4 linked regions of the Elephas maximus indicus genome follow. The protein of the gene in region 4 interacts with the protein of the main gene of each other region in a pairwise test. Links are inferred from orthologs where the notes say so. Each region holds a gene or a part of one and is shown on either strand. Other genes may lie near its edges.

Region 1 (7,280 bases), on a different chromosome or scaffold from region 4:
CCTTCACTTGTCTAGCCCAGTCATGAATGTATAAGGCAGCTGATATTTTCTCCCCAGCTAGAAGTGGCCCCCTTCCTAACGAAGGTTGCTGCCTCTTACAAGCTCCTCCTAACGTTCACTACAAGCCATCCCCTCCCCCACCTCCAGTTTGTTTATTCCAGTGACACATCTATTTTCCCTGGTAAGAGAGACACTTCAGGTTCCCTCCTCTGGCTCCTGATTGCATGCAGTCACCACCTCCTCCCCCAGCTCAGCTCAAGTTACTCTTGTGGCTAGCAGCTCCCGCTGCCCAGCTCTTAAACCAATTCAACTCCCCAAGACCAACAAGACTTATTCTAAACCGGGAGGGGGGATGCCATGCGCCAAGCGGAACTCTCTGAGCGCCAGGTCTCCATACCTTCTTGGGCTACTCTCCCTACAGTTTGCAAATACTCTGGGTTCAACCACACTTGCTGGCTTCCTCCTCTTCTGCTCTGCCCCCAAACACTCTTCTAACACTCTTTTCTGGTAGCAGGCAATCTGATCAAGCGCAGCCCGAAAACACAGCACCTTCAATTTCGCTCTGAAATCTGGGACTCCAGGGCTGGCCAGATGAGAACACTCCTCCCTCCAGGAGTTTAGGGATCAGGAAAGCCACAGAAAGCTGGAGAAAAGGGAGGTGTTGTAAACTGTCTACATTTTAAAGTGCTACAAACTTTCTCCGCCCTCCACGCCGCAGGCCACTTGGCCCCGCCTCCCAATCCTAGCCAAGCAACATCTAACTGGGACGTGCAAAGGAAACTCTCCCTGCAGTGGCCCAGGTCTCTTCCCAGGGTAGCAGATGTGGCAGACATAGAACAACACCCTTCCTCTCCACGCTCCCCCACCCCCTCTTCTCCACTGCCCCCACCCCCACCCCCACGCACACACACAAACCCGGTTTGCCATTGAAGATGAGTTTGGAAGGGGCAGAGCATATTTATCTGTGTAATCTAAAGGAGGTAAGAGATGGGGCCAAACTGTCAGATCGTATTGCTGACAGCTACTTTGTGACGTTATTTTTTAGTACAAATCCACAGGAAAAAGAAGAAAAACAGGATAGAGAGTGAAGGAATGAAAGGGAAGTGAAGAAAAACAATGTAGAAGAGTAAGTAATCCCAGTATTTCCTTAGAGACCATGGACTCCAACCAAACTTTAGGGAGAAAGGTATGGATAGTTAGGTGGGGGGCAATAGGGACTGGCAAGGAAGAGTAGCTGCTGTAGAATCCCAGAATAAACTGCCCTTCTGGAGGGGAGCTGCTGCAGGGATAAAGAAACACACAAATTGCCCTTTTAGCCATTAGACGTCAACCATGAGATTATCAGGACAGTTTATTTGAAGCGGAAACGAATCGGAAATCCTTCCTCAACAGTCCTTTTAGACAGATACACACACACCCCGCACAGACGCACATAAAGAATAAATGCAGCATTGGAGGCAATACGCGCCCCCCCCCCACACACACCCCTAGCAGCTCCAGCCTTATCTCCTACTTCCAATTACACTACTTTCCGATCTCCAATGCAAATATTTCCACTTGGATCGGATTTCAGAATTGTTCTACCGGGGAGGGGGCGCTTGCAGAGTGTAGGGAAGGGGGACAGGAAGATAGCATTTCAGCAGCAACTAATTTTTTTTTTAAGAATCAGCATGCTGTACCGATCAGAAATTGCTATTACCCAACAATGCTTCCATCACAAACAGACACCAAAAACACCATCATCGTTATCACCATCTTGCTAAAGATCTGCCCAGTCCAGTTTACCTCACTTTGTCTCGGTGGAACTTCTCAGCGAGTATTTTGGTCAAAAGGATAATGGTCGGAAAGACAAAAACAATAAATCGATACTGAAGGGTTCCCTTTCCGGAGTGATTTCCCACTGGAAACCACCGAACGGGGAAGCCTGCCGTTAATTCCCAAGCCCACGGCTCCTCTGGAAACACACACACAATGCGTGCTTTAAAAAAAAAAGAAAAAGAAAAAGGCATTCGTCTTGCTTTTAAGGGAATTCCTGTCTTTTCAGAGTCCCAAAACTGGAGAGCACGAGCAAGAAACTCACATCCATTGATTAATATTCTCGTAGAAAGACTAACACACAGCCACAACACAAGCACACACCAACCTTCGCTGACTGGACCACTTCTCCCCTGTTCCTCTACTAAGGACACGTTAGATTCTGACGCATCCTTCCCCTCACCCCCTTCAAAAAAAAAAAAAAATCCAACTAGGTTACAATGCAGCTCTCTAGCTCCACTTAACCTGCAAGTTACAAAGAGAGCAAAATGTATATATATATATATATATGTATGTGTGTATGGATGCATATATCTTGCCGCCTTCCCAGCCCCTTCCCTGCCCCATCCTGCTGACCAGTCCAGTCCACTTCACCAAAGCCATACGCTCCAGCCCAGGCCGCTGGCGGCGGGACCAAGGGAGGGTGCACAAGGGGGGAGGGGGGCCCAATTAGGCGAAACTCAAAAAGCTCCCAGCCCTTCAGCCCGACGCTTCCATTATCGCAGCCGCCAACCGGCCACTTCAATTGAGCCAGCATCGCTGCCCACCCGCGGGCCGCCCAGAATCGCGCCCAGCCCCGGCAACCTGACCGGGAACCGCATCCCGGCTCCTCCGCCCTGTCTCCCCTTTCCCGCCCGGTGCAAAGTCAAAGCCCCGGCGAGGCAATGTGAACTTTTGCATGCTGGGCACACACGCCGCCCCCGGCCCCGGGCGCACCGGGGCCAGCGGCGCGGCAGGCGGCTAGGCGCCGGGCTCCCTGTCCAAGGTCGCCGCGCGTGCTCACCCATGTCCCGGCAGCAGCGGCTCCGCTGGCCCCGGTGTTCGCTCAGATCCTGGCTCCGGTCGCTCGGCCGAGCCCCCAAAGGTGCTGCTGCTGCAACTCCATGGCGATGAGCATCTGTCAAACGGCAAGCCGCGGGCGGGCTGCCCTCGCTCGGGGGGGCGCCAGGGCCCCCGGGCGCGCGGAGGCGGCGGCGAGCGGCGGGCGCCCCGGCTGGCCCCGCGCTTCCCGCCCGGCGCGGCCGCCTCCGCCGCGCCACCGATTTCTGGAGAGAGATATCAAGGGGGAAAATGGCGTCTCCGGAGCCCGAGGAGTCCGGGAGTAATCACATTCACACACACACACGCCGCACGCACACACACTCGCTCACACTCGCACGGCGCGCGGAGAGCCCGGCTAATTTTAGCAGGAGCCAAAAAAAAAAAAAAAAAAATTATGTCTCTCTCTCCCCGTCTCTCCGGTCACTGCTTCCCCCCCCCCACCCCCCCGTTCTTCCAAGGATGGAGTGAAGCTTTCAAAAATGTTGCCGGGCTCCGGCGCGCAGAGGCGGCGCGCGTAGGGCGAGGGCGCTTTTGCTGAGCTGTGCAGTTGGGGCCGCGGCGCCGGGCGGCCCTGCCGCTGCTCGTCCGCAGCGCTCGCTAGTGCTGCCGCCGCCGCCGCCGCCGCCGCTCCATGGCCGCGCCCGCCCCGCGCCCCCGCCGCGCCCCTCGCCGCCCGCCGCGTCCCGGCGCGCGCTGGAGTGGGGTCGGGCCCGTGCGCCTGCCTCCCGCGCCCTCTCCCGAGTCCCAGAGTCCTAGTGAAAGGAAGGGGGAGGGCGCGGGCTGGGGAGGGGGAGGGTCGGAGCGCGGCGCGGCCGAGCAGAGCAGGGACCGCCACCCCGCCAGCTGCTTCGGAGGGGGCGGCCACACGGCTCCCTCCCGGGCCCGGGAGCCGCTTCCCGCGGGAGCCGGGGGAGGTGCAGCCTGGAGCGAGCGAGCGAGCGACCTCTCCCGCCACCCCCGCGCTCGGGGGATTTCGGTCAATTGGAGGGAGCGGAGCTCTGGCAGGGGGAGAAGGCAAACAGTTCGTGGAGGCCGCTCGGGGACCGCTCGCCGCCTCCCGCGCCCCTCCCGCTCCCCAGCGCCCTCGCGGCCCAGTAGCTCCTGCGCGCCGGAGTCAGGCGCGGAGACTGGGCGGCCGCGGGGACCGCCGCGGGCTCGGCGCCGCTTCCCGGGCTCAACACTGCCACTATCTGACACAACAGGAGCAGTGTTGGGGGGAGCTGCTCTGAGGCGCAAGATGTGATAGGCTCTGGAAACTGGGTGCATTTTTTTTTTTTTTACCCTGGTAATTACATTTCACTCTCAGGGATTTATTTTTTTTGGTAAGGTGCATGTATGCATTCGGGTGCTCATGTGCATTTTTTCGTTATTCTCAAGAAGTGTAGTCTTGATGAGGAGAAGGTCGAGGAGAGATGATAAAGGCATGTTCCGGTGCAGTTCCCTATTCAGGGTGGTGGGACTGAACAAGGTGGAGTGTCTTCAGTTTCTACCAAAATGTGGTATTTTTCATCTCTTTGAGTATTTGAATTTGGGCTGCAATATAAGGCCTTTTCAGGACAACTGAGGAATCGAACCCTGCAGGGACATTTCTACATTATAGAACAATATAGGACAGACACGATTGGTTTTGCTTAAAGTCCTCCAGGTAGAGTTTACTCAGAACTCATTCTGAGAGGATACCTGACTACCAGGTTCTGTAAGAGAGTTTTTGGAAATTTGGACTGAGGAACGATTTGGAGGGTGAGTGTGGGGTGTGCCTTCACCAACCATGTCAGCCACTGCTTAACTGGTTCAACTGCTGGTTTGGTCTCGGAACTTCTTCAGGTCTCATCACTCTTCACAGGAATTTTGCAGTGAAGTGGGGGGTGGAGGGAGTCTGGGTCAGAGGATGCCCCCCAGCTCTGTTCTGGTGGGGTCTCTGGATGGGGTTCAATTTGATCCTGAATAGACAGTACAGTTGTCTCTGACCCAAGAGCCCTGATGTCATCTTTTTTTCAGAAGAATATTCTGATTAGCCACAAACTTTTCCTCTGTTAGTCATCATTAGAAGACCTGGGTTGGAGCAAGGTTTCGATAGATCTTTTGCTAGCTTTTATATTGGAGTATGGCTGGGTTGTTGTTGGGTTACCTTGAGTCCATTTCTACTCGTAATGACTCTATAGGACAGAGTAGAACCGCCCCATAGGGTTTCCTAGGCTGTAACCTTTACAGGAACAGACCTCCAGATCTTTTCTCCCATGGGGCAGCTGGTGGGTTTAAACTGCCAGTTTTTGGATTAGTAGCTAAGCACTTAACCATTGTGCCACCATTGTTGTTGTTGTTAGGTCCTGTCAAGTAGGTTCTGACTCATAGCGACCCTATGTACAACAGAACAAAACACTGCCTCATCTTTGACCATCCTCACAATCGTTATGCTTGAGCCCGTTGGTGTAGCCACTGTGCCCATCCATCTCACTGAGGGTCTTCCCCTTTTTTGCTGACCCTCTACTCTACCAAGCATGATGTCCTTCTTCAGGGATTGGTTCCTCCTGATAATATGTATAAAGTATGTGAGACAAGTCTCGCCATCCTCACCTCTAATGAACATTCTGGTTGTACTTCTTCCAAGACAGATTTGTTTGTTCTGCTGGCAGTCTATAGTATATTCAGTATTCTTCACCAGTACCGTAATTCAAAGGCATCAATTCTTCTTTGGTCTTCCTTATTCGTGGTCTAGTTTTCATGCACATATGAGGCATTTGAAAACACCATGGCTTGAGTTAGGGGCACCTTAGTCCTCAAAGTGACAACTTTTCTTTTTAACACTCTAAAGAGGTCTTTTGCACCAGATTTGCCCAATGCAATACATTGTTTGATTTCTTGACTGCTGCTTCCAGGGATGTTGATTGTGGATCCAAATAAAATGAAATCCTTGACAACTTCAGTCTTTTCTCCATTTATTATGATATTATGTAATCGGTCCAGTTGTGAGGATTTTTGTTTTCTTTATGTTGACATGTAATCCATACTGAAGGCTGTAGTCTTTGATTTTCACCAGCAAGTGCTTCGAGTGCTCTTCGCTTTCAACATGTATGGTTAGTAGTGAGAAAAGTAATGCTTAATTTGGGGAAAAAAAAAATCTGCCGGGGTTATGAGCTGGTGTTACGTAATAGAAATCAAAGCACAAAATGCTAATGTCAAACTACCATTCTCTTTATTCAGATGACATTTGCCCATTTGCTTGTGTAAATGATTGTGAAATCATAGATCAAAGCTTGTGGAGAGCTAAAATATCATATAGGTCGCTTCCTACACTTTCCAAATGGGGAAATTGAGTCCCAGAAATCAGAAGTACTTGCTTCCAGTCCCACAGCTGGCTGTATCATCTGAGCCAGAACTAAAGCTTGTTGCCCAGGTCCTTTCCGTCCTATCATCTAGGCATATTCACGGGTCCCCCTGGGTTGTTCTGTTTACTTGAAAAGCAATTCAGAAAAGCACATGCCTTATTAAAGATTCACTATAATAGATGGTAAGGATATATAGAGTTGGTGCAGTAAAAGTCCATCTGGGAGATCACCTAGTCAAATCCCATCATCTTAAAGTTGAGGAAACAAGAGAAAGAGATTAAATGGACTGCCTGGGGTCCCACAGTTATGGCAAAGCCATGAATAGACTCCATGCCCCCTGACTTCTCATCCAGGGGACCTTTCTTACAACTAGCCCATCCTTTGGTCATGAGAAGTGAGTTGAGGGGAAAGAAAGGGGAGGTCCTGTCACTGTTTGTGATAGATAGATAGATAGATAGATAGATAGATAGATAGATAGATAGATAGATAGATAGATAGATAGATAGATAGATAGATAGATAGATAGATAGATAGATAGATAGATAGATGATAGATAGATAGATAGATATAAAATATGTGATATATGTTTTAAATGTATATTTGTAATATATATGATATGAAATAAAATAGTAAAAGATACCATACATATATATAGGATATTTATTCTATTCATATATAATTAGGAGTCCCTGGATGGCACAAAGGATTAAACACTCAACTACTAGCTGAACGGATGGAGATTCAAACCCACCCAGAGGCACCTTGGAAGACAGGCCCAGCAATTTGTTGTCACAGCCTTGACAACCCTATGGAGTAGTTCTACTCTGGACACAGGAGTTCACCGTGAGTCAGGATTGACTCAATGGCAACTAACAACAACAAAATATATGATTACAATAAATTATAGTTTATTAATAATCATATTAATGTAATTATCATTAATTTGAAAATAATTTATATGTGTGTAAACAAATATATAAAAAGAGAATGATTGGCATTAGTATTTTGTGCTTTGATTTCTACTTTGAATCACCAGAACATAACACATGCTTCTAAATTACATATAATACATTATATATTAAATACATATAATAATTT
Region 2 (6,833 bases), on a different chromosome or scaffold from region 4:
CTCCAAGTGACATCTTTGCTTTTTTAACACTTGAAAGACGTCTACTGCAGTAGATCTGCCCAATGTACTATTGTTTTATTTGAGTGCTGCTTCCACGGGCATCAATCCAAGTAAAATGAAATCCTTGACAACTTCAGTTGGTCCAGTTGTGAGAAATGACTTCTTTATGTTGAAGTGTAATCCATATGGAAAAAGAAAACCCCCAAACCTGTTGCTGTCAAGTTGATTCCTACTCGCAGTGACCCTATAAGACAGAGTAGAACTGCCCATAGGTTTTCCAAGTAGTGGCTGGCAGATTCGATCTGCCGACCTTTCGGTTAGCAGCCAAGTGCCACCAGGGTTCCATACTGAAGGCTGTAGTCTTTGATATTCATCAGTAAATGCTTCGAGTCCTATTCACTTTCAGAAAGCAAGGCTGTGTCATCTGCATATTGCAGGTTGTTAAGGAGTCTTCCTACAATCCTGATGCCCTCTTCTTCATATAGTCCAGCTTCTCAGATTATTTGCTCAACATACAGATTGACTAACTACGGTGAAAGTATACAACTCTGATGAACCACGTAGTATCGCCTTGTCCTGTTTGAATGAGTGCCTCTTGGTCTATGTACAGGTTCTTCACGAACATAATTAAGTGTTCTAGAATTCCTACTCTTCATAACGCTATCCATAATTTATTATGATCCACAGAGTTGAATGTCTCTGATGGTCAATAAAACACATATAAACATCTTTACAGTATTCTCTGCTTTCAGCCATGATCCATCTGATATGAGCAATATTTCTCATTCCACGTCCTCTTCTGAATCTGGCTTGAATTTCTGGCAGTCCACCGTCGATGTACTGCTGCAACCATTTTTTTAGTTATCTTCAGCGAAATTTTACTTGTGTGTGATATTTATGATAGTTTGATAATTTCCATATCCTGTTGGATCACTTTTCTTTGGAATGGATCTGGTTCTCCAGTCAGTTGGCCAGGTAGCCGTCCTCCAAATTTCTTGACATAGAGGAGTGAGCAACTCCAGTGCTGCATCCATTTGTTCAAACACCTCAACTGGTATTCTGTCAATTCCTGAAGCCTTGTTTTTCCGCCAATGCCTTCAGTACACCTTAGACTTCTTCCTTCAATACCATCAGTTGTTGATGATATGCTACTTTCTGTAATGGATGAACCCAGATCAATTCTTTTTGGTACAGCAACTTTGTGTACTCCTTTCATCATCTTTTGATACTTCCTGCATCGTTCAGTATATTACCCATAGGATCCTTCAATAGTGCAACTCGAGGCTTTTCCTTTAGTTCTTTCAGCTTGAGAAATGTAGAATATGTTCTTTCCTTTTGCTGTTCTAACTCTAGGTGTTTGAACCTTTCATTATAATACTTTATCTCCTTGAGCCACCCTCTGAAATCTTCAGTCGAGCTTTTCTACTTCATCATTTCTTCCATTCGCTTTAGCTACTCTACATTCAAGAACAAATTTCAGAGTCTCTACTGACATCCATTTTGGTCTTTTCTTACTTTCCTATCTTTTTAATAACCTTTTTATTAACTGATCCCCACTTAAAGTGAAGAGTCAAACCTATTGCCACACAAATATTAATGCTGGATTATCAGGTTGTGGAAACCCTGGTGGCGTAGTGGTTAAGTGCTACGGCTGCTAGCCAAAAGGCTGGCAGTTCGACTCTGCCAGATGCTCCCTGGGAACTCTATGGGGCAGTTCTACTCTGTCCTATAGGGTTGCTATGAGTCGGAATCGACTCGACGCCAGTGGGTTTTATCAGCTTGTTGTCCCTTAGCCCTGCCGGGAGTTTTATTACACACCTAGGCACCATATTATCTTTCTAAAATCTAAAAATTTCTGAATTCCAAACATAGTGACCCCAAGGGTTTGGGTTAAGGGACTGGGGGCAGATATTACCATTCTGCCTGGAGAGAGGAAAAGAACAACTAAGTCTGTGAGGCAGACTAGTTTTGACTAGGAAGCAAGAAAAATACCTATTCTTCTTGCCCAAAGAACACTACTGAACAAATTCCTTCTGAAGGCTACCTGTACTGAGGTTTTCAAAACAGGGCTTTATAACCATCAAGTGTACAAGTGTGTAAAAAAATTTTCAGTCAAGTGAAGTTAGTTTGCTGCTGCATTAGCACCTATTGTCTATTCTTGGTTTCCGAGGTCAAAGACTAGGCTAATTATATAAACTACAATGCACAATATGGGCTCCTCAGCCCGAAAGAGTCTTACAGAACTCAGCACCTCTGGTAGTTTCTGTCATGGCGATTCATCTGATGTATCTGTTAGCAACTCTTCTAGTCAGAAATAAGCACAACGTTGTCACAACTGCGAAATCTTAAATAAGCGCCAGAGATTCCTCTAAGGCTCGATGCGAGTATTTCGCTCCCTTTTCGTTAGAAATTAATGAATTCAGAGGGTCAGGGCCAAGGGGCACGAGGCTGGCAGCCCTTTGGGACCAAATGAACAAAGAGAATGCGGGATTGACGAGAGCGAACCGGCCACGGAGCGGGTCGCGCTCGCCGAGTCGGGGTGGGGGAGGGGCAGGCCAGCTACCCGCCTCCTCCCCCGTCCCCCGAGCCAGGCCTGACATCGAGGGCGGACAAACCCGCCGGGCGTGACGTCACCGGCCTCCGACGCCTTCTCCTTGGGGGTGATCCGGGAGGCGAACCCGCAGCGGGGTGGCCGAGAGAATCTTACGTGAGGAACCACAGCCCAAGCACTGGAGATGACTCAAGGCACCTCGGTTGCCGCGCCCGCCTCCCGCTTGGGCGCGCCCGCCAGCCCCTCAACCTGAGCTCCCCCGCCACCCTCTACCACCATCACTAGCGCCGAAGCAGCCTCACCCGGCAAGATCCGACCCCGAAACAAAGTCTAGAGGCGACGATGGGTCCCAGAGAACTGGGCGCTGAAGAACCGAACGCAGCCTGACTGACGACAGCAGCAGCTACAGCACTAGCGGCGCGCGGCTCCTCCTGGCGCCGGAACAGGAAGCGCCTCACGCCTCGCGCGCTGTCCCCGCCTGCGCTCCTCCTCCCGTCGGGCTGGGCCGCGCGCGCCCCCTCAGGCCCCCGGCGGCACTGCGGCTCCCCCTAGCGGCCGTAGTGGAGCGGCTGTTCTCTTGATGCAGCGGAAACTTCCTCGGTTTTCCGGAGCTCTGAGGACTCGGAGGAAACGCTTGTGACTGGTGAAGTTCAGGGCAGCCAGGCGGAAATTCCTGATTTGTTGCGTTGAGTGGCTTGAGGGCAGATTCTGGATTCCCTGCACTCAGCGGTTTTTACAGCCAGGCCTCGAAGCTGGCTAGGTGTGTATGCAGCCAATTAGCGGCCCGATTCTGGGAGACGCAGATACCCTCAGTCAAAATTGAGAAGAGCTAAAGGAACAATGCAGAAAAGGGAAGACGTTTGGAAACGGATTGATAATTGATATTAACTAAAGGAACAGTCATCTTTTCAGATTTTTCCTGATCCATGTTTTTCCCCACACCTTCTTTATTGAATAAACATTTATTAAACATCTACTCTATCAGACCCAAAGAGTGATTAGGACATGGCCCTAGTCATCAGGAGCCTGCAAGCTAGTAATGAAGATGTCATAAGTATATGGTGTGCAAAAAATAGCAAGAGCTAGATATTTAGCCGAGAGACTATGGCCCTGAAATACCCTTCTAACCTGGAACTATTTCCGGAGGCCACTTTCAGGCCAAACTAGAGAAAAGCCCATAAAATAAACAATAACACCAGAGAGGAACGTGTTACTTACAAAAACAATAATCAATTATAGGTGATCAAAAGGGCAACATTTGCCCAAAGGCAAGGATGAGAAGGCAGGAAGGGGTAGAAAATTAGGACGAAAGGAAACAGAAAACCCAGAGCAGAAATGGGGAGAGTGCATGACATGTGCTGGGGAATGAAACCAAGACCATGAAGCGATTTATGGTGCAAACTATGAAATGGGAATATAATTTGCTCTGTAGGCTTTCACCTAACATACCAAAAAGCAAACAACCAAAAAACAAACAAAAAAACCAAACTCATTGAATGCTACACATAAAGTGAATACATTTTTACTGTATGTAAATTATATTATACTTCAATAGTCTATTTTTAAAAAATAAAAAAAACAAATACAGGCATGCCTACTTTTACTGTGCTTTGCTTTATTGCACTGCACAGATACTGCGTTTTTTTTTTTTTTTTACAAATTTAAGGTTTGTGGCAACCCTGCATGGAGCAAGTCTATTGGAGCCATTTTTCCAACAGTATGTGATGACCTCCTGTCTGTGTGTCACATTTTGGTGATGCTCACAATATTTCAAACTTTTATTTTTACTGTATCTGTTATGCTAATCTGTAATCAGTGATCTTTGATGTTACTACTGTAATTGTTTTGGGGCACAGCAAACCACGCCCATATAATACTTTGAACTTAATCGATAAATGTTGTGTGTGTTCTGACTGCTCCACCGACTGGCCGTTGCCCCATCTCTCTCCCTCTCCTAGGACCTACCTATTCCCTGAGACATGACAATATTGAAATTAGGTCAATTAATAACCCTACAATGGCCTTTAAGTGTTCAAGTGAAAAGAAGAGTTACACATTTCTCACTTTAAATAAAAAGCCAGAAATGATTAGGCTTAGTGAGGAAGGCATGACGAAAGCCAAGACAGGCCTAAAGGTAGGCCTTTTGCGCCAGTTAGCCAGGTTGTGAATGTGAAGGAAAAGTTCTTAAAGGAAATCGAAAGTGCTACTCGAGTGAACACAGGAATGATACCAAAAACTAAAATCAACTGCCATCGAGTTGATTCCAACTCATAGCGACCCCATAGGACAAAGTAGAACTGCCCCATAGAATTTTCAAGGAGCACCTGGAGGATTTGAACTGCTGGCCTGTTGGTTAGCAGCCATAGCACTTAACTACTCTGCCACCAGGGTTTCCAAAGGGAAATAGCTTTACTGCTGACACAGAGAAAGTTTTAGTGGTCTAGATAGAAGATCAAGCCAATGACAACGTTCCCTGTCACAGATTGAATTGTGTCTCCCAAAAATATGTCAACTTAGCTAGATCATGATTCCCAGTATTGTGTTGATTGACCACAATTTTGTAATCTGATGTGATTTTCCTATGTGTTGTAAATCCTGTCTCTATGATGTTAATGAGATGGGATTAGCGGTAGTTATGTAGACTGACTCTACAAGATTAATCTACAGTTTAAGCCAATCTAGTCTAAGATATAAAAGAGCAGAGAGACAGGGGGACCTCATACCACCGAGAAGCAAGAGCCAGGAGAACAGTGCATCCTTTGGACCTGGGGTCCCTGTGGTGAGAAGCTCCTCAACCAGGGCGAGATTGATGACAAGGACCTTCCCCCAGAGCCTACAGAGACAAAAAGCCTACCCCTAGAGCTAGCACCCTGAATTCAGACTTCTAGCCTTATAGACTGTGAGAGAATGCATTTTTCTTTGTTAAAGCCATCTACTTGTGATATTTCTGTTATAGCAGCACTAGAAAACCAAGACATTCCTTTAAGCCAAAGCCTAATGAAGAGCAAGGCCCTAATTCGCTTCAATTCTATGAAGGCTGAGGGAGGTGAGAAAGCTGCAGAAGAAATGTTTGAAGCTAGCACAGGTTGGTTCATGAGGTTTAAAGAAAGAAGCCATCTCCATAACATAAAAGTGCAAGGTGAAGCAGTACGTGCTGATGTAGAGGCTGCAGCAAGTTATCCAGAAGATCAAGCTAATTGGTGAAGGTGGCTACAGTAAACAACAGATTTTCAGTGTAGATGAAACAGCCTTATACGGGAAGAAGACGCCATCTACGACCTTCACAGCTGAAGAGAAGTCAATGCCTGGGTTCAAAGCTTCAAAGGACAGGCTGACTCTCTTGTTAGGGGCTAATGCAGCTGGTGACTTTAAGTTGAAGCCAATGCTCATTTACCATTATGAAAACCCTAGGGCCCTTAAGAATTATGCTAAATCAACTCTGCCTGTGCTCTATAAATGGAACAACAAAGCCTGGATGACAGCACATCTGTTTAAAACATGGTTTACTGAATATCTTAAGTCCACTGTAGCAAGCTACTGCTCAGAAAAAAAGATTTGTTTCAAAATATTACTGCTCATTGACAATGCACCTCATTGCCCAAGAGCTCTGATGGAGATGTACAAGGAGATTGATGTTGTTTTCATGCTTGCTAACACAACATCCATTCTGCAGCCCGTAGATCAAGGAGTAATTTTGACTTTCAAGTTTTATTATTTAAGAAACACAGTTTGAAGGCTATAGCTGCCATAGATAGTGATTCCTCTGATGGATCTGGGCAAAGTCAATTGAAAACCTCCTAGAAAGGATTCACCATTCTAAATGCTATTAAGAACATTCATGATTCATGGGAGGAGGTGAAAATATCGACATTAACAGAAGTTTGGAAGAAGTTGATACCAACCCTCATGCTTGACTTCGAGGAGTTCAAGACTTAGTGGAGGAAGCAACAGTAAATGTAGTGGAAATAACAAGAGAGCTACAATTAGAAGTGGAGCCTGGAGGTGTGACTGAATTGCTGTAATCCCATGATAAAACTTTAACTGATGAGGAGTTGCCTCTTACGGATGAGCAAAGAAAGTGGTTTCTTGAGATGGAATCTACTCCTGGTGAAGATGCTGTGACCATTGTTGAAATGACAACAAAGGGTTTAGAATATTACCTAAACTTGTTTGATAAAGCAGCAGCAGGGTTTGAGAGGATTGACTCCAATTTTGAAAAAAGTTCTACTATAGGTAAAATGCCATCAAACAGCATCACATGCTACAGAGAACTCTTTCATGA
Region 3 (7,082 bases), on a different chromosome or scaffold from region 4:
TAACTGTAGGTAAACCATTTCAATAAAGACGGACACTGCCAACACACGTAATGAATCTACAAATTCACTTTTATACTGCGTATAAGCCAATTACTTACTGAGCAGCACCCTCAACTCTTTTCCAGAAACCAATGGGGGTATGAACTACTGGACGTGGGCTCTGCTCACAGCCTTTAAGAGCCAGTGATGAACTGGAATGACTGGCCAGCTGACAAGCACAGGCACCAAGTTCCACAGATTCAAACACACCCATTTCACTCCATTCCCACAGTCACTATCCTGGCGCTAACTATCCCTAGGCCACTAGTCCTACCCACCTTTCTAATCCATCCTTCTCACAGCATAGTGCTTTTTCTAAAATGTGATTCTAACTGTGTCACTTCCTTGTGCTTAAAACTTAGTTCAGTGGTTTTCCACTGGCCTTACAATAAATTCCAAACTCCTCAAAGTGGAGACACACCAAACACCGCTGGTCATCTGGTCCCTGTTTATTTTTCCAGTCCTATCTCTTGCTGCATGTCTCTCAGAACCATTTCCAAGAACAGACCTCAGAAGACCTCAAAAATGTGCTAACTTAGGATACTAAAGCAGGTAGATACGGACAAATATATACATACAGAAAAACATGAGAGCAAATGCACACGCGCACACAGATGTATCTGTAGACACATACACGTACATTTACGCACGTTTGTGGTTGACGCATATACGTATCTGCATATATAACAAACCACACAGGGGCAGTTTTCAGAGGCTTTCTAGACATATCCAAACAACTTGCAGGATTGGTTTACTGAGTTAAAAGACTTGGGACCACAGTCTCAGAACACAATCAACTGACATAACGTAATTCACAAAGATCATGATCCACATCCTAGTTTGGTGAGTAGCATCTGAGATCTTAAAAGCTTAACATCTAAAATATAACTATTGGTCTCTACCTATATAGAGCAAAAGAAAATGAAGAAAATCAAAGTCTCAAAGATGAAACTACTCCACTGGACTAAAAGCCCATGCAAACCAGCACCTCTTCTAACGTGAGACCAGAACTAGAACTAGATGGTGCCTGACTACCAATACCGACTGTTCTGACCAGGAACACAACAGAAGGTCGTGGATTGAATGGGATAAAAACGTAGAAAGCACAAATTCCTGAAAAAAAAAAAAAAAGGCCAGACCTACTGGACTGATAGAGACCAGAGAAATCCCCCCAGACTACTGCTCTAAGATACCGTTAGAACTTGTCACTGAAGCTATTTCTGCAATTCACCTTTCAGACAAATAATAGATCAGCTTGTAAAATAAACAATATCACTCATGAGGACTGTACTCCCTTAAACAACTACGTGAGACCGAACGGTCAACATCTACCCAAAATCAAAGATGAGAAGGCAAGAAGGGGGAGTGAAGCTGGATCAGTGGAAACAGAACAAACTGAACACCAGTAATGAGAATGCTGACAGTAAAAACTGTAACCATTAAAAAACAAAAAATAATCAAACCCGTTGCCATCAAGTCGATTCGACGAAGGGGTAATTCATTGCGTAAACTTTCACCTAGAACACGTTAGTTAAAAAAAAAAATTCATAGGGGAAAATAATTAGAGAAAAAAATACATCTACAAAGGTCCCTTAGAGAGCTGACGATAATAACAAATGAAAAAGGTCTAGAAAACATTATATTAAAGATTTTTGCATCAGAGTTGGACGCTCAAATTCAGGCAATACGAAAGCCAGCAATATATTTCCATTTGAACGTTCCCATTTTTACCTCAAACTCAGATAAAAGTGAGCCAAACAAGTCTCCCCTCCTCTTCCAAACCAAACCACGAGAAGAAATGATTCTCCCTTCGATACCCTTTGATCGCTGGCGGCCCCAGCACTCCTGGTCGTTCACCTCAGAAGCTTAGTTCTGCAGTCAGGAACCTGGCTGTGCACCCTTGGGCGGACCGCCTGACCTTTGTGGGCCTCAGTCTCCCGGATCGCCCCGGCAGCCTAGGCGCAAGGCAAGCCTGCAGAGCCGAGACCGCTGGACTAGATCCCACAACTGGGGGCAGAAGCAGGAGGTGTGATCGCCAACGTCGAGGGGCAGCTGGAGGGTGAGACAAAACCCGATATCCGCAAAAACGGCTCCGACTCTTCCTTTCCTCTTCAAAGGACCCACAGGCGGAGGAGGAGAGCTGTCTACCGAGCACGGTGTCTGGGGTCAGTCTGCCGACACCTGTGTGCAGGGGCGCAGAGCGCTGCAGGGGCGGGGGGCAGGCAGGCCTGGCCGCAGCCACCAGCGGGGTCGGCAGGCGCTCCCGGTGCCGAGGGCCCACTGGGTGCCGGGGCTCGAGCGGGGCGCTCCCAGGGCCAGGCCCCCAGCGCTCCCCGAGCGGCCGCCCACACGTCTTCCGCCCCGTTCATGCCCAGACAAGGCTTTCCCACGGGGCCCACGAGCCCAGACCCGCGGTGGCGCGAGCGCACAAAGGAGGCGCCGTCGGTGGGGAACAAAAACCCCGCGCGAGGCCTCCCCAAGCGGCCGCACAGCCCCGAGCCCTGGCCTGTCCTGCCCACACTCCCCGAGTGACCTTGGACGCGTCCGGAGCCCTCAGTTTCCCCCCCAAGTTAGAGACTAAGCCCCGCGGCGCCGCCCGCCGGGGGCGCCCAGACGCAGACCCAGGCCTCCCCACTTCCGCTGACGCGCCGGGCTCGGTCCGTCCGTGCGGCCGGCAGAGCGGGCGTCCACGTGGGCCCGAGATCGCGGGGAAAGGCCCGGCGTCGGGGCCCTGAGCCGGTCAGCGCCGCGCCGAGGCTACTCTGAGCCGCGGGCGCTGAGGCCTCATCAAGCCGCGAGGCGGCGAGCCCCGAATCCTCCCGGACGCTGACTTGCCGCTCCCTCCCCACGCCGCAGGGCCTTACCTGGAGCGGGTTTAGTCCGGCCCTCCGCCGGCAGCGCGACCAGACGGAGAAACCCTTCCACAGCGTCCGCGGAGCACTCCTCCAGCCAGACGCCGCCGCCTACCAGCGGTCCACTTCCGCTCTAGAGGCCGTGGCACCGCCCCCCTCGCGTCCCTATTGGCAGTCACCGCCCCTAGCCCTCGGCCCGTCGGGTCAGTGGGGATATTTTCAATGCTATTGGATAAAAGAGCCATCTATTACCACTTTGAAACGCGCCTCCTTCCGGCCCCGCCCACGCTCGCGTGCTCCAGCTCCCGCCTTCCGGGCAGAGCCGCCCTCTCGACCCCGGCCCGCCGCAAGGCCTCTCGGGAGTTGTGGTCTGCGGCCAGGCGGAGCGCTGAAACCGCGGCTCCCGGCGGTGCCGACCCGACTCGAGGTCTCCGGAGCCTGGAGGGCTCCGAGTGCCCGCCTGGGTGACAGCCCTAGACACCAGCCCCGTGCTCCTGGCCGGACGCGGCTGGACGTTAGCCCAGGCCCGGCCGTTCCGCCGCCGGAATCCCGGCTCCGCCCCCGCCCCTCTCTGGGCCCCAGCTTCCTCGCCTGGGAACCGGGCCCCCAGGCTGGCGCGGCTCGGAGCCTGACCTTCCACCAGAAGCGGGGCCTGGACCTGCAGCCCGCTGCAGGGGTCTTGGAAGGGGTCCCGGGAGAAGGTGACTCTGGAGCTGAGAGCTGATGGGCTGGAAGGAGAGGGTTCCAGAAGAGGGAGCCCTGTGTCCCTGAAGCTGGAGTGAGGGAGGGAAGGAGGAGAGGTTGACTGGCAAATGCAGGGACGGAAGGCTTCGCAGCGCCCGACGCCCAGAGATGGGGAGCAGCTGGGGGGGGGAGGCAGAGTCAGGTCTGACAGGGCCAGGGGCCAGGTTAACAGTGGACTATCGCTAGGCCCGCGGGTGTAGGTGCTCTGGGTAGAAACATGACAAAGTGCAGTAAAACAAAAAGAAAGGTTTTATCCGGCATATATTCAAAGACGCAAAAGTAGGAATCGGACAAGGATGCTGCCAGAGGTAATGTCTGCCTGAGTCCAAAGAAATATTACAGAATAAGCAAGAATGGGAAAATGGACAAGCATGCTGCTAGAGCCGTATCTGCCCGAGTCCAACGATATAGTACAGAATAGGAAAGAATGGCTGCTAGAGCCAAGTCTGTCAGAGTCCAAGGAATGTTTCAGAACCATCAGTATACATTAACGTTACAAATGGGCAAAACTGTTGAAAGTTTCACCTTTTCACAGGCTGGCTAGAAAATGTGATCATATGTTTTGAATAGTCTTTCTTAATAATCATTGGTACAGGTTTCAGTAACAACAGTCTGGAGGGTCTTTACTATTCTGACAAATCTTACTATTCACTAAATGCTAATAGAACAAGATAAGAGTGGAAACTATGTGGGTCTTTTATGCTCCATTTATGATTTGTTTATGTGAAAATTTCCCTGAAAGGTGTTTTCCAAGATTGTCCTAGCTATTGTTTTTATACCTCAGGGTCCTTGTGACTCCAGCTCCAGCTGGGTCACATTCTAGGATGGAATAATGGCTCTAATATTATCTCCTAAATCATGGGGAAAGGAGGACCTGAACCTGTGCAGGAACACCTCTGCCTGAGCTGTCCCCTGGGAGAGGGGCCATGGCCGAGGCCAGCCTGGTGGCAGAAGCCTGGAGCTCAGTGGCCTCTGGGATATCTTGGGCAACTCTAGGGTTCAAAAGGTCGCAAACTGAACCCCTCCTGCCTGAATTGGAATCCCAGCTCCATCCTTTAAGCAAGTCTCAACAATGCCCTCACCTGTTATAGGGGGACAATATCCACCTCAGAGGGGTAATGTGGGGCAGATTCAATGCAGCATTGCACACGTGCATGCTAGCCCCCTGGCTGGTAAGGGCTGCAGACCAGAATTGGACTAGTAAATCGGGTGGTGGGCTTGAGTCTAGGCACCAGGTTTGGACTTGAACGTGGCATGGCAACCAGAAAAGAGAGCCCAGCTTGTCCTCTTGTCCTGAGAATACTCAGGCCATGGCTATCATCTCTGGTCCCTAGGCGCCCTCTGGCAGTGAGAAGGTCACCCCAAATGCCCTGGGATGGACTCCTTCCTTGGGGGGAAGGTCTTTAATCCTGGAAGGTTGAGCTATGCGTGGCAACGACAAAGCAGATCTGGAACCGCTTACCCATTGCCGACAAGTTGATTCTGACTCAGTGATCCTATAGGACAGAGTAGAACTGCCCCATAGGGCTCCCTAGGCTGTAATCTTTATGGAAACAGACTGCCACATCATTCTCCCTCGGAGAGGCTGCTGGGTTTGAACCGCCAACCTTTTGGTTAGCCACCAGGGCCCCTTATGAAAAACAGAGCATTAGTATTTTTGAGTTACCCGTCAACAATCTGTGTGTTGATACTTTATGAGGTAGTAAGGGAACTTGGCATGTTGGAATGTCTGACATAAATGTGATCCAATGTAGATTATGTGGTTGAGTATCTGATAGTGATTTTAGGTTGAAAAAATAAAAGCTTTTTCCAATGTTTGTGATCGTAATTGGAATGTTTAAGAGAACTTGTAAATTTAAGAGAGATATATACATATAATACATCTATTAAAATTATTTAAACACTTGGGAAGTCAAACAACTGGAATGTTAAAATCAGATTTTACATTTATAAATGCAGTTTAAAATGCTTAAGGGAATTTCAGTTTATAAATGGGCCCGTCAGTGATTAATCAAAATGATAGTTAAAAACAATCAGACTTATAAATAGAATAAGATTCGTAATTTGAATTTCAAAGCTTAAGAAAAAGCTAGGATTTTCTCTTTATAATTTTAATATATTGAAAATGTGATGTTGAAAAACAGTCATTACAAATGTTACTCTCATGCCCAGAAGCTGCCTCCGTGGCCTCCCAAACCTCCCTTGACACTGAACCTACAGTGTGAGTATCCCTGGCTCCCTCCTCCTGCTAAATGTCCCCAGCTTAGAGGAAAGACTAGCCCCTTGGGATGCCCACAGTCCCTCTCATAGAAGCTGGTTCGAAGCAGATACTTGGGCTTCACCCTAGAGCTTGAATCTCTGTGGACGGAGCGTGAGAGTCTGCTTTTTTAACTCCAAGATAAGAACCCCTGCCTATCTGAGTTCAGACATTGTCAGCAGGGGTCTTCTGGCTAACTTGCACTTACCCAGAAAATTCACTTAAGCAGAATGTCAATTCTCTAGGCAGTCCAGCAAATAAAGGTTCAGAGAGAGCTTTCTCAGCACCAGCTAGACCTTATGCCCCCCTGGCTGATCCCCTTTCTAAGGGCTCATACAGGAAGTGGGGAGGCAGGCGTCTAGACTGTGGACCCCTTGAGGGTATATCAGTTAGCTATTGCTTTCGAACAAAATCACCCCAAAGCTCAGTGCTTCAAATAATAGATATTTATTGTTGCTCATGAGTCTACAAGTCAGCTGGATGGTTTTGGTTCCTGGCTGGGCTCACATGTTGGAGGTCAGCTGGTTGTAGGGTGGTCTAGGAAGGGCTCCCCTGGGACAACTCCTCCACATGGTCCCTCTCCTCAGCAAACCACTCTGGGCCTGCTCACATGGTAGCAGGGTGGGTTCCCAGAGAGCAAGTGGAAGTTCCAAGGCCACTTGGGGCCCAAGCTGAGAAATGGCACACAGCCACTTCTGCTGTACCCTGTTGGCCAAAGCAAGTCAGATTCAAGGGCTGGGAGAATCAGACTTCACGTGTTGGTGGGAGGAGGTGTCAAGTCATATGGCAAAGGCATGGGTACAAGGAGACATTTTTGACGTTTACCACATAAGGGCTGCCTTCAGGCCACATCCTCTAGAGAATGGCCCAAGGCCTGCTCTAACTCAGGTTTGTAGGAGCAGAGTACCTGGAAGAGTCCCCAGGTGCTGGCAAGCCAGCTCTGAGCAGCTGTCCAGGTTCAGGAGTGTGGTACGTAGTCAGGGACCTTGTTACCTGCCAGCCAGCGTCATTGCCAATATTGTTGGCGGCTGCCATCGAGTCAGTCCCAACTCACGGCTAGCCCACGCACAACAAAATGAAACGCTGCTCGGTAGCTGCCATCGAGTCAGTCCCAACTCACGGCTAGCCCACGCACAACAAAATGAAACGCTGCTCGGTCCTGCACTTTCTCCCTGACTGGTTGTGGACCA
Region 4 (6,825 bases):
TGGAAGGGCTGGGGCCGAAGTAAAACTCAGGAGCTGGCAGCACGGCGATCCTGGGAGTCCCTGTGCCGGACCTGCCACAGCCTCTGCTCCAATAATGGAACAGAGCTGCCCAGGGAGGCCCATCCTGGCGCCTCTGACCATGTGAAAGATAATAGGGGCAGTTCTGCAAAGTCTCAGTGCCAGAGGTGCCTGTAAGAGCCCAAGAGCCCCTCTTCCCACCCTGATGGACCAGATCACACACAGAAAGAATGCTTCAGCATCAAGACAAAGAACTAAAGGTGCAAACCCACCCCCATCCCAGGCAGAGGTTGGGCCCCCAAGATCCGCCCGTCCGTTCCTAAAACCACCACTGTCAGGAGAATGCAGGCAATTGTTACATCTTTAATTATAACAAGTAGCCACGATCCTAATCCCACTTAAAATCATCGAATCTACCTTCCTCAATGCAAGGAAACTCAGTTAACGAGTATTAAGCGTTACCAGGCACTTCAGAGCAGGACGGTTACGATGCAAAGGCTCTCACTGTGAAGTGCTAGAGACAGGCAGGGTAAAAAACACCCCACAGGGCGGACCCCAGGCAGAGCCTCCAAGACCTGCACCTCCACCATCCTCCTGGGCTTCCAGCGGGGCTGTGCCTCTTAACATGGCTCTTCTCAGATGAGGCCTCGCTAGCTGAGAACTTCACTGCTACTTCCTGGCTGTGGGAGTGAGGGCAAGGTTCTTATCTCTCCTCAACCTCAACTGACTCATCTGCAAAAAGGGTGATAGCCAGGGCTTTTCCATCCCAGATACACTGAACCAGAATCCACATTTAACAAGATCCCCACATGATTTTTATGTATAACTTCCTAGGAACTCGAGATGCAAACTCTCAGCAGGAAACTTGTTAGAAATGCAAATTCTCAGCAGTGGCTGGTTTAAAGCCCTGGATTCTACTAAAGATGAAACAGATAAAGAAAAAACAAACCAGCAAACCCAAACCCACTGCCTTGGCCCTTCTCCATCCAAATCCAAAGGCTTCCAAGCCTGGGACTCCCATGTGGGACCAGGTGGGGCATAAACAAAAGCACCCACCTCTGCAGGCCCAAGCACCCGGCACTCAGGAGAACCTCATGCCTGGGCTGCACCCCTCCAGTTCTTTCGTGGATCTACCTCAGGACCCCAGGCTGTCTCTGAAGCAAGGTCCCAAACCTCGAGACACAGCTGACAAACCCAGTATTTCCACCCTGGCACATGAGGGTGCAGAATTCATTGCTTAACCACTGAAGAGGTTTGGGGTCGGATTTCTCTGTAGAAAAATCAGAACAAACACAGGATCAATCTCTGCTTCCAGTTGGATAGGTCCTCCATGCCAAAGCAACATTTTCTTAATGCAGTAAACCTGCGAAAGCCGGAACCTGTGTAAGGTGGAAACCTGTCAGAAAAAAAGAATTAAGAATATTTTTCACTAATAAAAAAAACAAACCCATTGCCATCGAGTCAATTCTGACTCACAGAGATCCTACAGGACAGTAAAACTGCCCCACAGGGTTTCCAAGGAGCGCCTGATGGATTCAAACTACCAGCCTTTTAGTTAGCAGCCACAGCACTTAACCACTATGCCACCTGGGTTTCACTAATAGAGAACGACAAAAAAGTGGTGACTGCACACTGTCGAAGGCAGAAAACTTGCGAGACCAGGAAAAACAAAATAGTCCTGTCAAGTTCCAGCTCTCACAGATTCTCCTGTAGCAAAAAACATTTAGGTGAAACATCTTTAAAATAGAAATAAAAAAAATACAGTAACTTTGCAAACTGAAGAACTAAACATAATTTAAGATTACAAAAACCAAAAGAGTTGATTTTGGGATTTCAGGGTGACTGGAGGCCCCCAGCAAGCGCCCAACTAATCACTCCCTTCCCTTGCTCCTACTCAACTACCTACCAGTTCCAACCACCATTTAAGTGGTACAAAACAATCTTAAAAACTCTCCCTAAAGTGAGGCGCTCATCTTCAGACTCCCACCAACTCCACAACACGGACAGCCGCTACAGCAGCAAGAAAACTTAGCCTTGTTTTGAGATTTGAAGACACCACAAACAGCATCCCCCCGTGCCTCCCCCACCAGGGGCCCGCGATTTTGCAACGAAAGACTTTCAACTCCCTGCTGTCCATTCTGTCCCTGGCTGGAAGACGCCAGACGTTTGCTGTCCATCCCTGTGACCCCGGAAATTAATTTCCCCAAAGGTAAAGGAGCGCTTCGGGTTGGTGCGGCCGTCCTCCAGAGCCGCATTCCTGTCAACACCGGCCTCAGCTCTCCCAGCTCCGGAGCTACGGGCTCCTTTCCGCTCTCCGCGCGCCACACAGCACCTCTGCAAGGCCGCCTGGCGCACCAGAGAGAAGGATGTTCCCCCCTTTTCAGGAAAGAAAGTGATGGGAACTCCAGGAGCGCGGCCGGGACGTGACCCCAGAGAACCACGGGGACGCTGTCCACCCGAAAAACCCCACGCTGGGAACGAAGGCAGGACGGCCCGGAAGCTCATCCCGTAGCCCGGCAGCTCACAACTCGGCGAGCAGAATTAAGTTTCGAAGCACAGACAACCTTCCCTCTCAGCCCCTTCCAGAAGGTGAGAGAAAGCCCAGCCCCGTCCGCCGCGGACTGCGGGGTCCCGACCGCGGCCCGGCATCGGGGAGGCGGGCGCTGGGCGGGCGGGCGCGGGAGGGGTAGGCCGCTCGCCCGCCCTAGGACCCCGCGCCCGACCCCGGCCAGGCCCCGCAGTCCGCGGCCTCCCCACCGACCCTACGCGCCTGCCGGCCCGGCGCCCCGTGGCCCAAGCGCCGCCCGGCCTGATCCGGCCGGAGGCTCCCGCGGTCTCCGCCCTCCCGGCCGCGCTCACCTCCGGCGGCCGCGGCCCGGCGAGTCGCGAAGAGCGGAGAGCCTTGCGACGACGGAGGCGACGGAAACAGCAGCTCTTCTCTTTGTCTCGGGACTTCTCTCCCGAGCCCGCTCCGCGCGCAGCCTGAGCAGCTCCGAGGACCCCGGCGCGGGCGGGGCGGGGCGGGGCGGGGCCTGCGCAGGGCTGCCCGCCGCGCGCCCGGCCCGCGCGCAGCTCTTGCAGCCCCACGTCCCGCGCCGCTCAAACTACCGTGCGTCCTCTGCCGCCTGCGGCCGTCCGCCGCGCGCCCGCGGCCCGGGCCCTCCCCGGGAGCCCGGTCTGGCGCCGACTTTCCCGTCAGGCGAAGGCCTAGACACCTGCGCCCTTAAAGGAGCCGCGTCCCCAATTTGAGGGAGCGTCTAGAAACTCCTCCTCGGGAAGCGCGCGTCCACCCGAGGACACGCCAGCAAGCAAGGGGGGAAATGGGAGACAGAGATCGCCAAGAGCTCCCCGGATGCCCGGCGGATACCTCTCCGGGCATATATCCTGGGGGTCTCCTTGGGGTCAAGGTCCGGCGCTGGCGGGCAGAGACCACTGAGGCCTAAGGAACCCCCAAGCGTCGCAGGACGGTGACGATCCCCCGAATACAGAGCCCTGTGAAACCTCTTGCGATTGGCCAGTTCGAGACCCTGGCCGGGGCGTCCCTGGAATCTTCCCAATGAGCTGAGGCCGTACAGAAAGCCGAATGCTTGGAGGATCGACGGGAGGGTAAGTGGGGATGGTCCCTAACCTGGGGGCCGGCCCTGGGTGGGGGAGGGGCGCGGGACCGCGGGCTCGTAGGGGAGGGGAGGCGGCGGCAGCGGGGGAGGGGAGGCCGCGGCGGCGGCAGCGGCAGCGGGGGAGGGGCGCTGCCCGCAGGACCCCGTTCCGCGCACCCAGAGTCTAGTTCTCGAGTCTTCGGTGTTTGCAACGAATGAAAGTATGGAAGTTTCGCTCGCAAACAAGTGGCCCTGCTGCGACTTCATCCCTCGTCGGAGTCGTTGTAGCCTCTCGTTCCCAGCAGAGCCCAGCGCCCCGAAGCCGGCTGGGCTTCTGAGACCGAACTTCACAGAGGGGGACAGGGCACCTTCTTCAGGGTTAACTCGCCTCCGGACTGTAATCCGAGGCGCTTTGGGGTCAGAAGGGACAGATGTTCTCAGAATCCCCCCTCCACCAGGTGTCAGCTCCGAGGACGGTGGGGGCTTGTGGGCTGGATGGCTGGGAAGGGGAGGCCAGCCGAGGAGGGGGAGGGACGGCCTGAGGTGCTCTACTGTTAGGTACTCTTTTATTCTTCTTTTCTACCTCTTTCCCTCCTTTTCTACCTCCAGCCTTTCTCTCCTCCTTTCCGTTCCTTCCTTCCCTCATTTTTCTCTGCCCTTCTTCCCTTTTTCTTTCCACCCCCAGTCGTCCTTCTCTCCTTCCTTCCTCCAGAGTCCCCTGGCTGAGGTTGTCGGGTCCCTGAAGTCTGTGGTCCACCTTCCTATCCCCTACAGCGCCCTCAGTGGGTGCTCCGGATGAACCCCATGCACTCCATCCATCCTATTGCTCTGAGGAAGTAAATGTGACTGGAGAGAAGTCCTAATCCAGTGTGACTGGTGTCTTTATAAAAGACAAGAGACACAGAGGGAAGATGGCTATGTGATCTGAGAGGCAGAGACTGGAGTGATGCATCCACAAGCCAAGGAGTGCCTGGGGACACCAGAAGCTGGAAGATGCAAGGAAGCATCCTCCCCTAGAGCATTCAGAAGGAGCATGGCCTGTGGACACCTGGATTTAAACTTCTAGCCAAACAAGAAATTTCTGTTGTTTTAAGCCACGAAATTTGTGGTACTTTGCTACCAAAGCCCCAGGAGACTAATGTCACTTGTCTTTAAAGTCCATCCTGACTCATAGTGACCCTATATGACAGGACAGAGCTGCCCCATAGGGTAATTTCTACCAGGAGCAGATTGCCAAATCGTTAATCCCGTAGAGCTGCTAGTGGGTTTGAACCTCGGACCTTTCTGTTAGCAGCTGCTTAACTCTTGTCATCAAGGCTCCTTAAGAGACTAGTACAGCCAGTTAAATTAGAATTTCAGATGCTGAAACCCACTGCCATTGAGTTAATTCTGACCCATCTTGTTGAGGGTCTTTCTCTTTTTCACCAACTCTCTACCAAGGATGATGTTCTTCTCCAAGGACTGATCCTTCCTGATAACATGTCCAAAGTATGTGAGTTGAAGTCTTGCCATTCTTGCTTCTAAGGAATATTCTGGCTGTACTTCTTCCAAGACAGATTTGTTCGTTCTTCTGGCAGTCCATGGTATATTCAGCGTTCTTCGCCAACACCATAATTCAAAGGCATCAATTCTTTGGTCTTCCTTATTCATTGCCTAGGTTTCGCATGCATATGAGTCGATTGAAAACACCATGGATTGGGTCAGACACACCTTAGTCCTTAAAGTGACATCTTTGCTTTTTAACACTCTGAAGAGGTCTTGTGCAGCAGATTTTCCCAATGCAATGCATCTTTTGATTTCTTGACTGCTGCCTTCATGGGCATTGATTGTGGTTCCAAGTAAAATGAAATCCTTAATAACTTCAATCTTTTATCCATTTGTCATAATGTTGGTTATTGGTCCAATTGTGAGGATTTTTGTTTTCTCTTACCATTAGTAATATGTATTGCATGTAATGTTGCTGCATGTAATTTGCTAATGTTATTGTTCTCAGATGTTCACTCTAAAATGTTCAGTTTTATGATTGACTGTTCAAAGCAAGCTATGGCCTGGTCTACAGTGAAGTCGGTATTGGTGTCTGGAGTCTTAAAAGGATAGAAAGCTGAGCAATGTTCAGCTCTAAGGACACACACAATTGAGCTGCGTTAGCGCCTGACAGCGGTTACAACTCTAGCTTCATTGTTCTGACTCTGATGCTGACTTCATTGTAGACCAGGCCTATGGTGTGATCTTATTCAGCATCTGGTACCATAAGAAGCATCAGTTGTTAATCTGAAGTTGAGTTGTTCAAGTTTCTCTAACTCACACTTGTACTGCTTATACCCCCAACAATATGTCTAGTAAAAGAAGTCAAGCCGCTGAAAGTTCTAATCCAAAAAAGAAGGTGAGGAAGGTTCTAGACATGGATATAAAAATGAAGGTCGTTAAGGCCTGTCCAATAATGAGGAAGTTGTCAAAAAATTTTACAGTGAAAGGATTAGCTGACTTGTTTTCTGAACTAAATCATGGTCTTCAGTTGCTTGACAACATGGACCCAAATGCTGATCGCTCTGCTAAAGTCGATAGGCAGATTTGGGAAGCCGAGATACGTTACCAGGAAATATATGAAGAAAAGGACCATACAGACTACTCTCACTAATTTTCTGACTAGAAACGACATCTCCATTCCCAGATATAATCCAGATGATCCAGAACCTTCCACAAGTGAGTTACCACAACTGACAAAATGCCAATGTTGTCCAACTCTTCTTCGTAGGAGTAAATTTTTATGATTTGTGTATTTTTTGTATGTATTAAAATATATCTGTAAGTTTACATGTATGTTTCCAACCCCCAAAGAGAAATAAAGATCAGATTTATAAAGATACTGATAATAAAAGGCAATAATAATGAAAACTAAAAAATTAGGTATTTGATTTACATCAGGACTGACTTATGACTAAGTTGTTGGAACAGAACCATTTTAAGTATGGGACTACATGTACAGTGAAATCTGTGAGAGCTGGAACTCGACAGGCCTGCCTCATTTTTCTGGGTATCGCAAGTTTTCCACCTTTGACACTTTTGTACCACTCGTTTTAGTGGGAAATGTTTGAGTTTTCCTTCTCTGACAGATTTCCACTTTACACAGGTTCTGGCTTTTGCAGGTTTTATTGTACTAATATTCCTTATTCATCTGAAACTCAAACTTACCAGGGCATCCTGTATTTTA

The links.
Region 1: the proteins of UBE2I (region 4) and SETBP1 interact in a two-hybrid assay, tested with the Homo sapiens proteins (2 studies listed by BioGRID). The two-hybrid records come from large-scale screens. The link is inferred for Elephas maximus indicus from reciprocal best matches to the Homo sapiens genes UBE2I and SETBP1.
Region 2: the proteins of UBE2I (region 4) and MAPK1IP1L interact in a two-hybrid assay, tested with the Homo sapiens proteins (3 studies listed by BioGRID and IntAct). The two-hybrid records come from large-scale screens. The link is inferred for Elephas maximus indicus from reciprocal best matches to the Homo sapiens genes UBE2I and MAPK1IP1L.
Region 3: the proteins of UBE2I (region 4) and RNF4 interact in a two-hybrid assay, tested with the Homo sapiens proteins (3 studies listed by BioGRID and IntAct). The link is inferred for Elephas maximus indicus from reciprocal best matches to the Homo sapiens genes UBE2I and RNF4.

Annotation. Positions count from the first base shown.
Region 1 is NC_064829.1:53,290,887-53,298,166, reverse strand, and holds the start of SETBP1 (SET-binding protein), read right to left. Parts: upstream 3,014-7,280; 5' UTR 2,819-3,013; intron 1-2,818.
Region 2 is NC_064828.1:67,342,410-67,349,242, reverse strand, and holds the start of MAPK1IP1L (MAPK-interacting and spindle-stabilizing protein-like), read right to left. Parts: upstream 3,014-6,833; 5' UTR 2,854-3,013; intron 1-2,853.
Region 3 is NC_064823.1:161,337,197-161,344,278, reverse strand, and holds the start of RNF4 (E3 ubiquitin-protein ligase RNF4), read right to left. Parts: upstream 3,014-7,082; 5' UTR 2,904-3,013; intron 1-2,903. UniProt on the Homo sapiens protein: E3 ubiquitin-protein ligase which binds polysumoylated chains covalently attached to proteins and mediates 'Lys-6'-, 'Lys-11'-, 'Lys-48'- and 'Lys-63'-linked polyubiquitination of those substrates and their subsequent targeting to the proteasome for degradation.
Region 4 is NC_064830.1:58,456,656-58,463,480, reverse strand, and holds the start of UBE2I (SUMO-conjugating enzyme UBC9), read right to left. Parts: upstream 3,018-6,825; 5' UTR 2,878-3,017; intron 1-2,877. UniProt on the Homo sapiens protein: Accepts the ubiquitin-like proteins SUMO1, SUMO2, SUMO3, SUMO4 and SUMO1P1/SUMO5 from the UBLE1A-UBLE1B E1 complex and catalyzes their covalent attachment to other proteins with the help of an E3 ligase such as RANBP2, CBX4 and ZNF451.